Linked DNA regions of Oryzias latipes. The protein of the gene in region 2 binds, or shares a complex with, the protein of the main gene of each other region. Links are inferred from orthologs where the notes say so. Each region holds a gene or a part of one and is shown on either strand. Other genes may lie near its edges.

What was found.
Region 1: the proteins of mios (region 2) and cytosolic arginine sensor for mTORC1 subunit 1 are in contact, whole or in part, in a cryo-EM structure (PDB 9LVK), measured with the Homo sapiens proteins. The link is inferred for Oryzias latipes from reciprocal best matches to the Homo sapiens genes MIOS and CASTOR1. Residues at the interface, in NP_001357005.1 of Homo sapiens: Ala83, Asn84, Val109, Pro110, Lys111, His112, Ala113, Arg114, Asp134, Lys135, His136, Arg137, Asn184; in NP_001032755.1 of Homo sapiens: Val94, Ser116, Thr117, Tyr118, Gln119, Thr120, Asp121, Thr188, Tyr236, Leu255, Thr256, Ser257, Ser258, Ala295, Tyr296.
Region 3: the proteins of mios (region 2) and seh1l are in contact, whole or in part, in a cryo-EM structure (PDB 7UHY), measured with the Homo sapiens proteins. The link is inferred for Oryzias latipes from reciprocal best matches to the Homo sapiens genes MIOS and SEH1L. Residues at the interface, in NP_001357005.1 of Homo sapiens: Arg279, Arg316, Ser317, Phe353, Glu354, Arg355, Ile356, Ser357, Leu358, Ala359, Trp360, Pro362, Leu366, Met367, Trp368, Ala369, Cys370, Gly371, Arg372, Leu374, Tyr375, Glu376, Cys377, Thr378, Glu379, Glu380, Glu387, Asp389, Ile390, Ala391; in NP_112493.2 of Homo sapiens: Met1, Phe2, Val3, Ala4, Arg5, Ser6, Ile7, Ala9, His11, Lys12, Asp13, Leu14, Ile15, His16, Asp17, Val18, Phe20, Phe22, His23, Gly24, Arg25, Met27, Trp47, Ser173, Ser174, Ser175, Asn230, Leu231, Gly232, Arg233.

The regions. Positions count from the first base shown.
Region 1 is NC_019867.2:3,167,677-3,171,176, reverse strand, and holds part of cytosolic arginine sensor for mTORC1 subunit 1, read left to right. Parts: intron 1-74; coding exon 75-157; intron 158-418; coding exon 419-513; intron 514-3,500. UniProt on the Homo sapiens protein: Functions as an intracellular arginine sensor within the amino acid-sensing branch of the TORC1 signaling pathway. As a homodimer or a heterodimer with CASTOR2, binds and inhibits the GATOR subcomplex GATOR2 and thereby mTORC1.
Region 2 is NC_019874.2:30,578,522-30,582,530, forward strand, and holds the start of mios (GATOR complex protein MIOS), read left to right. Parts: upstream 1-1,209; 5' UTR 1,210-1,339; intron 1,340-3,561; 5' UTR 3,562-3,595; coding exon 3,596-4,009. UniProt on the Homo sapiens protein: As a component of the GATOR2 complex, functions as an activator of the amino acid-sensing branch of the mTORC1 signaling pathway. The GATOR2 complex indirectly activates mTORC1 through the inhibition of the GATOR1 subcomplex.
Region 3 is NC_019874.2:7,228,450-7,232,259, reverse strand, and holds the end of seh1l (nucleoporin SEH1), read right to left. Parts: intron 2,802-3,810; coding exon 2,657-2,801; intron 1,195-2,656; coding exon of another isoform or gene 1,113-1,194; exon of another isoform or gene 756-1,112; intron 750-755; coding exon 566-749; 3' UTR 501-565; downstream 1-500. UniProt on the Homo sapiens protein: Component of the Nup107-160 subcomplex of the nuclear pore complex (NPC). The Nup107-160 subcomplex is required for the assembly of a functional NPC.

The DNA.
Region 1 (3,500 bases), on a different chromosome or scaffold from region 2:
GGTGTTTCTACCTCTACTATTTCATGATCAATTGTATTTGATTGAAGTGGAGCTTCTCTCTCTCATTCCTCTAGGTTTCCTTCTGATCTTCTGTTCACCAGCTCCTCCGGGGAGCTTTGGAGAATGGTCCGGATCGGAGGACAGCCACTTGGTTTTGGTAAGAAAGTCCTCGTCTTCCACTCTGAGCTCTCTGGGTTTCCACCGACCTGTTGTTGCCTGTAGATGTCTGGACTTTGTTCTGAGGGCCAACCTTCCAGCCTGCATTCTTTGAAACCTTTAGGCCTGCACAATATATCACAAATTTATCAAGCTGTGCAATATCCATATTTGTTTGCCTTATGGATTATTCAAGTAAAGAAAATGGTTTCATTTCAGTTCTTCTGACATCGTTTTCCTTCATTTTGTGTTATCTTTCCAGATGAATGCGGCATCGTCGCCCAGATATCGCAGCCTCTCGCTGACGGCGACATCTCTGCCTATTACATCAGTACCTTCAGCTTCGACCACGTTTTGGTGAGTTTCCATCAAACCGCCACTCCTGTACCTTTGCCGTTCAACAGGAGAAACTCCTTTACACTCACCGCAGGAATTTAAAACCATCTGGATGATTAAGGGAGTGCCAAAAGATAAAACCAAACACACATTTCTTCATGCTTCATCACCGTCTTAATGATTCCATTCCTTTACATCTCAGAACATCGCAGACCCTGAACTCTTTTAAAGCTCTTTTGAAGGCATCTCTTTAATAAGTAGAGCTGTGACGGTGTGGGATTTTTGATGTGATGAACCAGCAGGGGGCGCGGTGTCGCGATTAACCGCCAAACACAAAATCCCCCGGTGGCCGCGTCGCAAATGAATACAATTACAACGCAGTATTCTTTATTAACAAACAACAGTAACAACTCACTACTACCTATCTACCTAATGAACTAACCATATAGGTGTTGTACAATGACTGTGTATGTGTGTCAGCGTGCTGCGTGTGTTGGAGGAAGGAGCGCACACAAGTGTGTTGGGGGTGCGTGTTGATTCTTCTGCAGCGGATCGCTCTCCAGCTGCACGCGAGGCTTCACCTGTGCTCTCTGGTACAGACATCTTCTCAGAATATTATATATTGCCCAGTAATATACCAAACAGCAGACACTTTGTCACCTTTCCAGTAGCCGTGAGCCTGACACCCATGAAGAAGGCGGGGCAGGAGGCTCCGCCTTTGTTTATACGGACACGTAACGTTGCGCTGCACAAAATAGTTTCCAAACAAAACATGTAGTGATGTTTATCGCACTCTAACAGTGCGTGTTCATGTTTGGTGTTACGGAGTGAAGGAGAACAGTAATGAAAAGTTTCCCCCAGAAACCTTTGAAGTCTGAACACATAGGACTAGTAGAAAAAGTGAATTATCAGCAAAGATGAATGTGTTAAATGTGTTGATTATAGTTCCAATCACGCACCATATGCAGAACTAAAAAAAAAAAAAAAATTAAAAAGCAAACATCACCACGGTGATGCGGTTACCGTCACACCCTTATTGTTAAGTGCTAGTTTTTTAGCTTTTAGTTAGCTTTGTTTAGTTGGCTAATTTTTATTTAGTGTTCTTTTTTTTCTCACATCTTGTTGTAGCACTTTGAGGTAATGTTTAATGAAAGCTGCATTATAAATAAATTATTATTATTGTTATCATTCTGTTTTTAACACAATCCAGTCGACATAAAAAAGTAGGTTGCTGGAGTCTACACTGCTTCAGTAAAAGGTCTTTTAATGATTCTTACGTGATGGATGGTTGGTTTCCTTTTTCTGATTGTGGTTTCTGAAGGTGTTCTCCGTCACAACTGGCATCTTCTGCCCACAACGTTGTCTTGAAATGACTCTAATCTGAGGGCCTTACCACTGAAACGCATCGGTTTTAGCTGAAAAAAAAGAGAAGTTTGATCTAATGGAGTGTTGTAGAAAGGCACTTAATGCTATGTAATTATCACTCCAAAATGGAGAATAATGTTGGATTTTAAAGACATAAACTAAACACGGGAAGTAAATAAATCTCTTATTAAGTGTGGATGAAGACCGAGGTTCAGTTTACTGAAATATGTTCAGAGAATAAAATGGATTAAATAGATTAGAATAAAAATAGAATACAAAATGTCATGAAAGCATGTTCAGGATTTCTTGTCAAAGGCCCAAATCAACAATGTTTGTTTTGTTTACTGCTGAAGTTAACCAGGAAGTTGACATAAAAAAGTTTGAGTGTGACATAGTTTCAAGTGACATTATTTGTTGTTTTGCTGACTCTGGTCTGCTGTTTTAAAAATGGGTGGTAATTCAAAACATTTATTTATTTTTTTCGAACATCCAGTAAAAATACACACATTAAGCGACCATTCTGACATATTTATCATAATTTCCGGATTATAAACCGCTATTTTTGTCACACGCTTTCAACCCTGCGGCTTATTTTCAAGTTAAAGTTCCAATCCTACACTGAGGAGGAAGACTTCCATGGTTTTAGTGCACAGAAGGCGCGTGCCGTGCAGACCCGTATAAGTTACTGCTGCTCTCAGTGACTTTTACCGGTATGTTTGTTTAACCAGCCCTGTTAGTGCTGTTACTCCCTTATTGCTGCCGTGTTACTGCCGCATCACAGGCACTGTTTGGAATAGAGCTGTGACGGTGTGTATGGCGTTTCATCTCTGCCATAAAGTAAAAGGGCGTAAAGACAACTGAGCGGGCGTATTCAGGAAGTGATTGAGTGAACCTTACAACCGCGGAGGCGCAATACTACCCGAGCGACCCAGCATTTTACAACTGCAGGCCTGCAATTATAACTGAGCGGGGCTCTCCCTCCTTCTTTTCGCATTCCACCATCCATTTTGGAGGAGCGTGGGCGCTCGCCTGGGCGCGGGTGTTGGCTCGCCTTTGCACTAGTGGTTTGCGTGATGGAATGGGTGAGGTGTTTCACACTAGTTGGTTTTGGGGCATGGGTGTGCGTGCGGGCACTGTCTGTTTTGTGTACATGTTGACTTGTCGACAGGTGGACATTTTTGCAGCAAGCAGGTGTGTTGATAACATTTGAGTGTGTGTGTGGACAGGCCCCGCCCTTTTTGTACTACATTTGAACCGTACCGTAATGATAAACAACCAGTAAACTTGTTGCTTTATGCTGCTTCATGGTCTTACCCCCCCTCCCCCCTATTATCACCCCCTACCCCCCCCCTCTCTCTGACGTCCCTCTCTCTTCTTCCCCTCTTTCCTTTTCCGTCCGGTCCAACACCAAAGATTTTCAAACATGATTGAAATTAATAAAGTTTGGCCTCAATTACAAAAGGGGTTTATTCAGACATACCTTTGGTTTGTCTGAAGATTAATAACCCCTCTTGTTAAAGTAAAATATTTCCAACACAAGAGGCCCTCAGCTCTCATCTGCCTGCCTAGCTGTTGGACAGGACAAGTTAAAAAAACAAAAAAAAACAAATCACTGAGCGGGGATCCTGCGTGGTCAGTTCCTT
Region 2 (4,009 bases):
AAATGATCTTTCCTTTATTTTTTTTACTTTAGAGTCGACGTTCTTGAACCCATAACTGAGGGAGAAGGTGTCTGAGATGCTGCAGAAGCTGCTCCCGTTCAGCCTTTTGTTCTTCACATGGATGAGAACTGGAGCTGCAGCTGCAAAGCATTGTGGGACAGTATTTCTGTTGCTTGAGGAGATAATAAAGGAATCATTGAAACTCTGTTAATATTTGATGGAGCTCCAGCAGCTCGTTTTATGGGATCTTTGCAGACACTCCCAGGGTAGTTTCTTCAATTTGGAGCCTTCAGAGATGAAAACGACTCAAACATCAAACACAGATGATGATCTGAAGGAGGTCACCCGTCTTTGGCAATTCCTGGAGAACCATAAAAGCAGACCCTGAGGCTAAAAGCAGCCCTGAAGCACCTCCACCATGTCTTTTCATAAGTCTTCACTGTTAGTTTGTCTGCAGATGTGACAGAGCGTCACAAAATCATCAAATCAAATCATCTAGCACCATCTCATCCTCTCAAATGCATCCTCCTCACTCTTTATATCCATCCACCTTCTTCCCTTCTGGCAGCTCCATCCTTTTACCAACATCATCCCTGTTCCTCCTCCTCCTCGATGTGTTCAGACCTCCACCTTCAGCTCCACTGTCCTACAGAACATCTTGTGGATGTCCTGCACAACTTCTGCTAACCTTTTTCTCCTCACAAACTCCTGAACTCTCCTCATTCCAGCACAGTCTCCTCATCTGCGTTCCTCATTCCAGATGAAACGAGTCTCCATGATGTCTTTAGCTGGAGCTGCTGGGTCTTCTGGGAGAAGCTCCCAATCTTTTAGCACGGTCCTCCACCATCTGTCCTCCTGCATTCCTGTCCTGAACTCCAAACTTCATCACTTCCTTCATCCAGATTTCTCATCACTCTCTCCTCTCTCTAGAAACCCTGGATATTTATTGGAATTGTAAAAATATTTTCTTTTATAACTTATTTTTAATTTTAACTTTTTATGTTAATTTTAGTTCATTATTATGCATTTGCTTTTAAATATTTACTTTATTTTTTTTGCGTCCACGGAGACTAAGATTATAAATCTGCTTCTATTTATGTTTTAAAGTAATTGTGATTTGTCTCCTGAGTTCTTATCTTTCGTTTCTGTGACTCCTGCGCCCTCTAGTGGTAGTTTCTATGTCCAGCAACCCGTAGTGGAATGTTACACCGCCGACAGCTGTTGCTACACGGACATATTTTGGTGTAACACACAACATCCTTGTGCTCCTCCAAAGTTGTGAGTGTGCGACATGTGGTTTTCCAGCCGAACCTCGTTCGTGTGTTTAAACCTGCTGAGAGTAAGTACCGTCTGCGTCCTTAGAGAATCATTTCCTATGAAATATGTCGGAGATTTAGATTTAATAACAAAATAAAAACCTTTCCGTTGGATCTGTTAACATTAGCATTAGCTTGGTGAGATTAGCATGTCAACAAACTTTCTGATTTTTGAGTGAACAATTCTAAAACGCATTTTGTTCGTAGTTTACTGCGACTTTTTTAAACAAAATAAATGACAGAAGTTGTTTGGTTTGATATTAGTTTTAAAGTAATGACATATAACTAGAGGAATTCGCACGTTTGGAGTGAATTTCTCACATAAGATAAAATGTGTGTTTTATTATACGGAACCATGAGCTAGAAACGCGTTTTTTCTGCTTGTGAAATAAAAACCATCCTGGTTTTTTAAATGTTCCTTTGCTCCTGAAAGTCTCTCCTTCTGTGATTAAAACGTCAAACAGATTAGATTGGAACCTTAAATGGATTTTAGGACAAACAGGGTTTGATGTTTGTAACCTGACTTCACATTTATTCAAGGTTTTTATGAAAGCATGACGTGAATTTTCCTTGAAATTCACAGGAAAAATCTAGAATATAAGTTTTGTTTTGCTTTAAGTGAAAAGAATCTGCCACTGAAACGTATTTGGGAAGATTTCTGAAAATAAGCTGCAATGATTTTCTCTTTTAAGACAAAATACAATCTGTCATGCACTCATATTTAGGCTTCTTGGTCTGGAAATTGGAAATATTATGTCTTAAAGAGACCTGAAAGTTTTTTTTTTTACTATCCTTAAAGTAGGTACATTTATACACTTAATAACCCAATTAAATATAACCCATTCAACTCTTAGAGGTGTAATCATTAATCAACTTGTCCAAACCAATTGATCTGTCTGAGACAATTTGTTAATCGATTCAACCTAAACTACATTAAAATTGAGATAAATCGACCTGTAATCAACATTGGAAAATACCATTTAGATTGAGAGGAAGTAGGTTTATTTGACTTTAAGGTAAAAACAGTGGAAAACACACGTGACGTCAATAACACGGATCATTCAATGTGTGGACAGACTTTGAATAAAGTCATGTGACCATCCAGTGTCTAGAATGTTCTAAGAATGTTCCCTTTGGATTCTTTGGATGTGGAAAAACAACAGTGGTGAACTTTAGGAAACTAACATGTGAATGGATTTGACATTCATTCTAGTTTACTGGTTGGTTTGGACACAGATTTCATTCACACTTGAAGAAATCCAAAGAATCTGGAGAACTGTTCAGTAGCAGGAATTTCTTACTGCTGGAAGTTTTAAAGACGACCTGGATCCGTTTTACGTCAGAGAATCGGATCGTTGTTAAACGCCTTTCATTAATCCTCATTTCTAGACCGTGATCGTCCTAAATTAAGACTAGAATCGCACACTAAGACAACTTTGTCTTTAAAAATGTTGTGTGTCACAGTTTCCCCAAATCAAGCAGGTTAATCTCTTTTAAATGAGATCATCACAAATAAAACTTCTGCTTAAAATATGATGTAGGAGTTAAAAATCTATTTGTATTTCAGAAAAAGAAAAGTTTTAAAGATCAATGGACTGAAGATTTATTGACTTTTAACAGGTTGTTACTGAGAAGTTAGTGAGTTTTGTCTTCCATCAAGTGTCAAAAGAGATTTAAGCCTGAAACTCAACTAAAATACTTGATTATGGGATTTTACAGCGTAGACGTTTCTAAATGTTTTTATGGTCTCGGGCCTTCAGACGGATGAGTCCTGGTGGACCCTGAGGTCCTCTGATTCAGGCCTTTTGGATTCCCCAAAAGTTAGAACTGAAACACACGGCGAGGCCTCATTCAGTTATTATGGGTTTGTGGAACAAACTCCCAGCATGCCTCAGGGCTGCAGAGACTGTTCAGGTTTTTAACAGTTTCCTTTTTTAGGTCAGTTTTATTTATGTTTTACTTATTTATTTATTTTAATGTATTTATTGACAGTTACCATTTTATATCTGTCTATTAAGGTTTATTTATTTACTTATTTGGTTATTTCACTTTGACATTCAAGTAGTATTTTTTTTTTAAACGCACAGTCCTGAATTCGCCGCCCATCTGCGGCGTTTTGAACGAGTACATCTCTCATTTTCGGACCATCCCTCCTCTGTCCAGTTTTCGTGGTGGAATCCATCACTTTGGTTTCTGGTCGGTGGCGTTTGCGTTCGTGGAGGTAAAACCTTCTGTCGTTTTTCAGGTTGGGGAGAACAGACGAGTCTTCTAGCTGCACCATGAGCGGCTCAAAGCCGGACATCCTGTGGTCGCCGCACCACCCGGACCGCTACGTCATCTGTGACTCCGAGCTGGGCCTGTACCGGATCGGGCCTGTTTGCAGCGCCGAGACGAAGCCCGGCTCGCTGCCCCTGTCGGAGGAAACCGCCGCCACGCTGCTGGCCATCAACTCCGACACCCCCTACATGAAATGTGTGGCCTGGTACCCCAAGCAGGAGCCCGAGTGTCTGCTGGCTGTGGGTCAAGCCAACGGCAGAGTCGTGCTCACCAGTTTGGGTCAGAGCCACAACGCCGCCTGCAAGGAGCTGGTGGGGAAGGAGTTCGTGCCCAAACACGCCCGTCAGTGCAACACTTTGGCCTGGAACCCGGTGGACAGCAACCTGCTGGCCGCGGGGCTGGACAAGCACCGGGCC
Region 3 (3,810 bases), about 23 Mb from region 2:
ATGCATTTTTACAAATTCCAGTCTGGCTCTTTCATGATTTCCTTTAAACAGTGGTGTCCTCCTTGGTCGTCTCCCATGAAGTCCACTCTGGCTCAAACAACCATGAATGGTGCGATCTGACAATGATGTACCTTGATCTAGGAGTTCAACTTTAATGTCTTTAATTTTCAATAAATTTTAATTTGTTACTTTTGAACGTTTCAAGTCATTTCAGTGAGCATTGTGGACTTTCTTTCTTTAACTGAGGGGTACCAACAATGTTGTCCACCACTGTATGTCATTGAGAAGCTGGTAGGGAAAATCCAAAAACCATTTGAGTTGACTGAAGCCTGAAGCAGTTTTCTGCCTGACAACAGCCCTTCATCAAAGGAGGAAATTCCCTATGAAGCATTGGTGACAAAGCCTCATGCAGGTGGAGTGGACCAGGAGGATCATCCAGAAAAAAAGCCGCTTTCTCACGTGGACAAACGCTTCCACAGTCAGAAACTGAAGCTCAGAGGTCAACACGTCTGCAAAGTTCTTTATTCCAAGTTCATGACAGCCATTCTTCCTATTCTAAGAACAATCACAGCTCTTCTGCCTCTGCTAAGGACAGCAGTGCTCTGGAGGAGTGTCTGTGAGGAAGACTCTGCTGCTGCTGAGGCTGAGGAACCAGCTCAGCATCGCAGTGCTCTATGAGGGAGGAAGGTGGCAGCAGGTGACCAAACCTGCTGCCCGCTCTGGGAGCATCCAAAGGTGGAAAGAAATACCTGAAGCAAGAACGGACGGACAGGCAGAGGAAGGGAAACAGAGTCGAAAAATACAGACAGGGAAGAACAAAATGAGGAGTGCACAAGGGAGGACATGAAACAGGAAGTAGAATAAAAAATTAAACTGAGAAATGAAGTATGTCTGCAACAGAAACTAAACAGGAAGTAATGTCAGGTGGGCCGGAACGAGACTTTTATTCTTTAAAAAACCACCCTAATAAAACCAGTGTGAAGCATCAGACAACCTGTCAATCAGGGAATCAAACCTAGCTACTGTTCATGCATGTGGTTGTTGTGCACTAAAAGTAATGTCAGTGAACCCCAGACATTCCTTCTGTGGGCAAACAGCTATTCACCAGATCATTAGTAATATGCAGGAGTCTGGTCTATCTTTGAGGAGGTCAGCGGCCGCAGGGGAGGAGCAAACGGAGCTCTCCTGCCAATCCTGCATGCAACAAGCAACACAACAGCAAATTACCTTCAAGACGCTCTGCTCACACACACACACACACACACCCACACACACCACACACACACACACACACACACACACACACCCACACACACCACACACACACACACACACACACACACATCACTGGACACAAGGTGAGTCTGTGACAGAGAGGGCGCAGCACCCACAGCTGTTATTCTGGTTAAAGGCCAGGCAGGACGTCCGGCCGTTAGCCCAGGATTATTTACCCGAGCACAAATACAGCCACGCATCCAATCTGAAAAACCCCAGACCCCCCATTAATCCTTTGTGCATCTGCCACGCTTTTATTTGTGAGCATTCTGCTGAGGAGCATGAGCAGCTGCTGCCAGCAGAGCTGTGGATGGCAGGACGAGCCCTCAATCCCAACTTCCCCGGGACTTTTCACAAGAGACGGAAATGAAGGTGGTTTGAGATTTGTTGATCAGGAACTCCCTTGGTGTTGGGCTCAACATGTTCCATAACGAGAGCTTAGTTTCCACGGTGGAGGTGGCTGTATTTATCCTCACATTTCAGTGTTACGGGTTATTAAGGTTCATTCAAGCTTCTCCCCTCAGCAAGGAGTTTGGCTACAGCTGCACCAGGATGCTGAGACTCAACGCCGCGTCTCACAGCCGCTACGTACATTTTGCATGTTTTCCATGTATGACCTTTCGGTCTTTCATGATACATGCGTGATAATCCGAACTCATGTTTCTTGCGTTTGTTGTTCATCAATGTGCGCAGATGTCCGTCGAGGGTGTCGGCTGACGGGCCTTTACGTGAATTTGGTTTTAAGCTGTTCAAAATTTTCAGACAGTTCAGAGTTATGCAGTTTCTGCAATCGTGCAAGATTTTTGCGAAATGCGTTCGCGAATTTGTGTCCACATAATGGACTTTTCAAGCATTAGCAGTGATGTATTTTTATATCACGTTTTTTAATTGACGCACAAATCATTAAAAAATTACATATGAAAAGCACAATCATCACACCCTTGCGCTATCTTGTGGGGTCCAGATGACCCCACTCTTGTGGGGTCATCTGGACCCCACAAGATAGCACAAGGGTTAAATTGATTTTTGTGGTGTTTGCTTGGTCTTCACAAGAAACAACATTCCCCTGAAAAAAGTGGAGCACATTGCAAACTGACAGGAGTTTTATTTCGATTTTTACAGCTGAACACCCGTTAGTCCTTTCATACAACAGAGGGAACATTGGCCCTCTTATGCCATACAGCAATAAACAAAAAACAAAAAAAAACCCTCCCAGCACAGAAAGATGTCGACAGCCAAGCTCTTTACAGGAGGCGCGGTCGGTGTGAGTCCAAATGGCAGGTTCAGTTGTTTCAGTGGCAGCTCCGGGTCAGTGTGAGCCCACACGAAGCAGTCAGGCTTTAACGAGGGGGTGTGGCCGCAGATGCACCACGCCACCTACCTTCCTGCTGATATCCCATTCAGAGCATTCTGGGAGAGGAGGGAAGAGCCCACCATGGTGCTGATGGGCTGACCTGAAGACGCGCTCAGCGGGCTGCCGTCTCCCCTTAGGATGCCGGTGCACTTCCAGTTGTCCATGTAGTTTGCTGCAGAGCATTCATGCAGAGGACAGCTTAGGGAAGAACTGCGGACACCTTCAATACACCAAAAGCTGCATTCACCTCAAACACGATTCACACATGAAGGGCATCCAGTTCAATGCCAATATACAGTCCTGATCTGAGGTCCTACAGTGCCACATGAGCATCTGGAATGTTACATCGATCTGGCGGCAGCATAAATTTGGGTGTGATGAGGCATCAAAAATCTAAAGCGAAGAATTCACGCCATGTCAACCAATCAGGGGCTCAGCTTTGGCACATGACGTGTTAATGTCAGCAAGTGGAGCCTAAAACCAACATGGAGGAGAATCTCATCGGTCTCCTCCTGAACTTTATATTTTTCTTTTTACTTTTAAGACAATAACAGAAATGTCCTCTAGTTTGATTAATGCTGGACAGCAAGTGGTCAAACTGGGTCACAGAGAGGTGGAAGAACCGCTGAAAGCAGCAGGCATTCAGACGCAGCTCCTGCAGTAGACGGTGAAGCTCTACGTACTGGAGGAGTCTCTGAATGATCCGATAAACCCAGACATGGAGATGTGATTACTAGGGGTTGACGGAAAATTTATTTAGCGATACGTCGCGATATTTCATTTGGCGATATTTGTATCGATTCAAAATGCTGTCCAGGACGACATTTTTTTTACCGTACTTTCACGACCATAAAGTGGACTTAAAAGTCTCACATTTTCTCCAAACTATAGGGGCGCACTATGAGGCGGTGCGCCTAATGCGTAGCTGTGAGGCGTAGAAGAAGACGGGGAGGGAAGTAGGGGTTTGAACAATATTGTGTAGTGACCTAACTGGAGCTTCACTCTGTATGCGGTGGTAACGACTGAGCTGCCAATCTACTGGCTGCGTTGAGAAGCTGTACATACACTTCCCAACCCCAAACAATTCAAGTCGAGTCGAGGAGCGGTGAAATCCATGTTTACTTCAGCGTGGGCAGTACTGATCCGTTACAGTGATCCCTCGCTATAACACGGTTTACTTT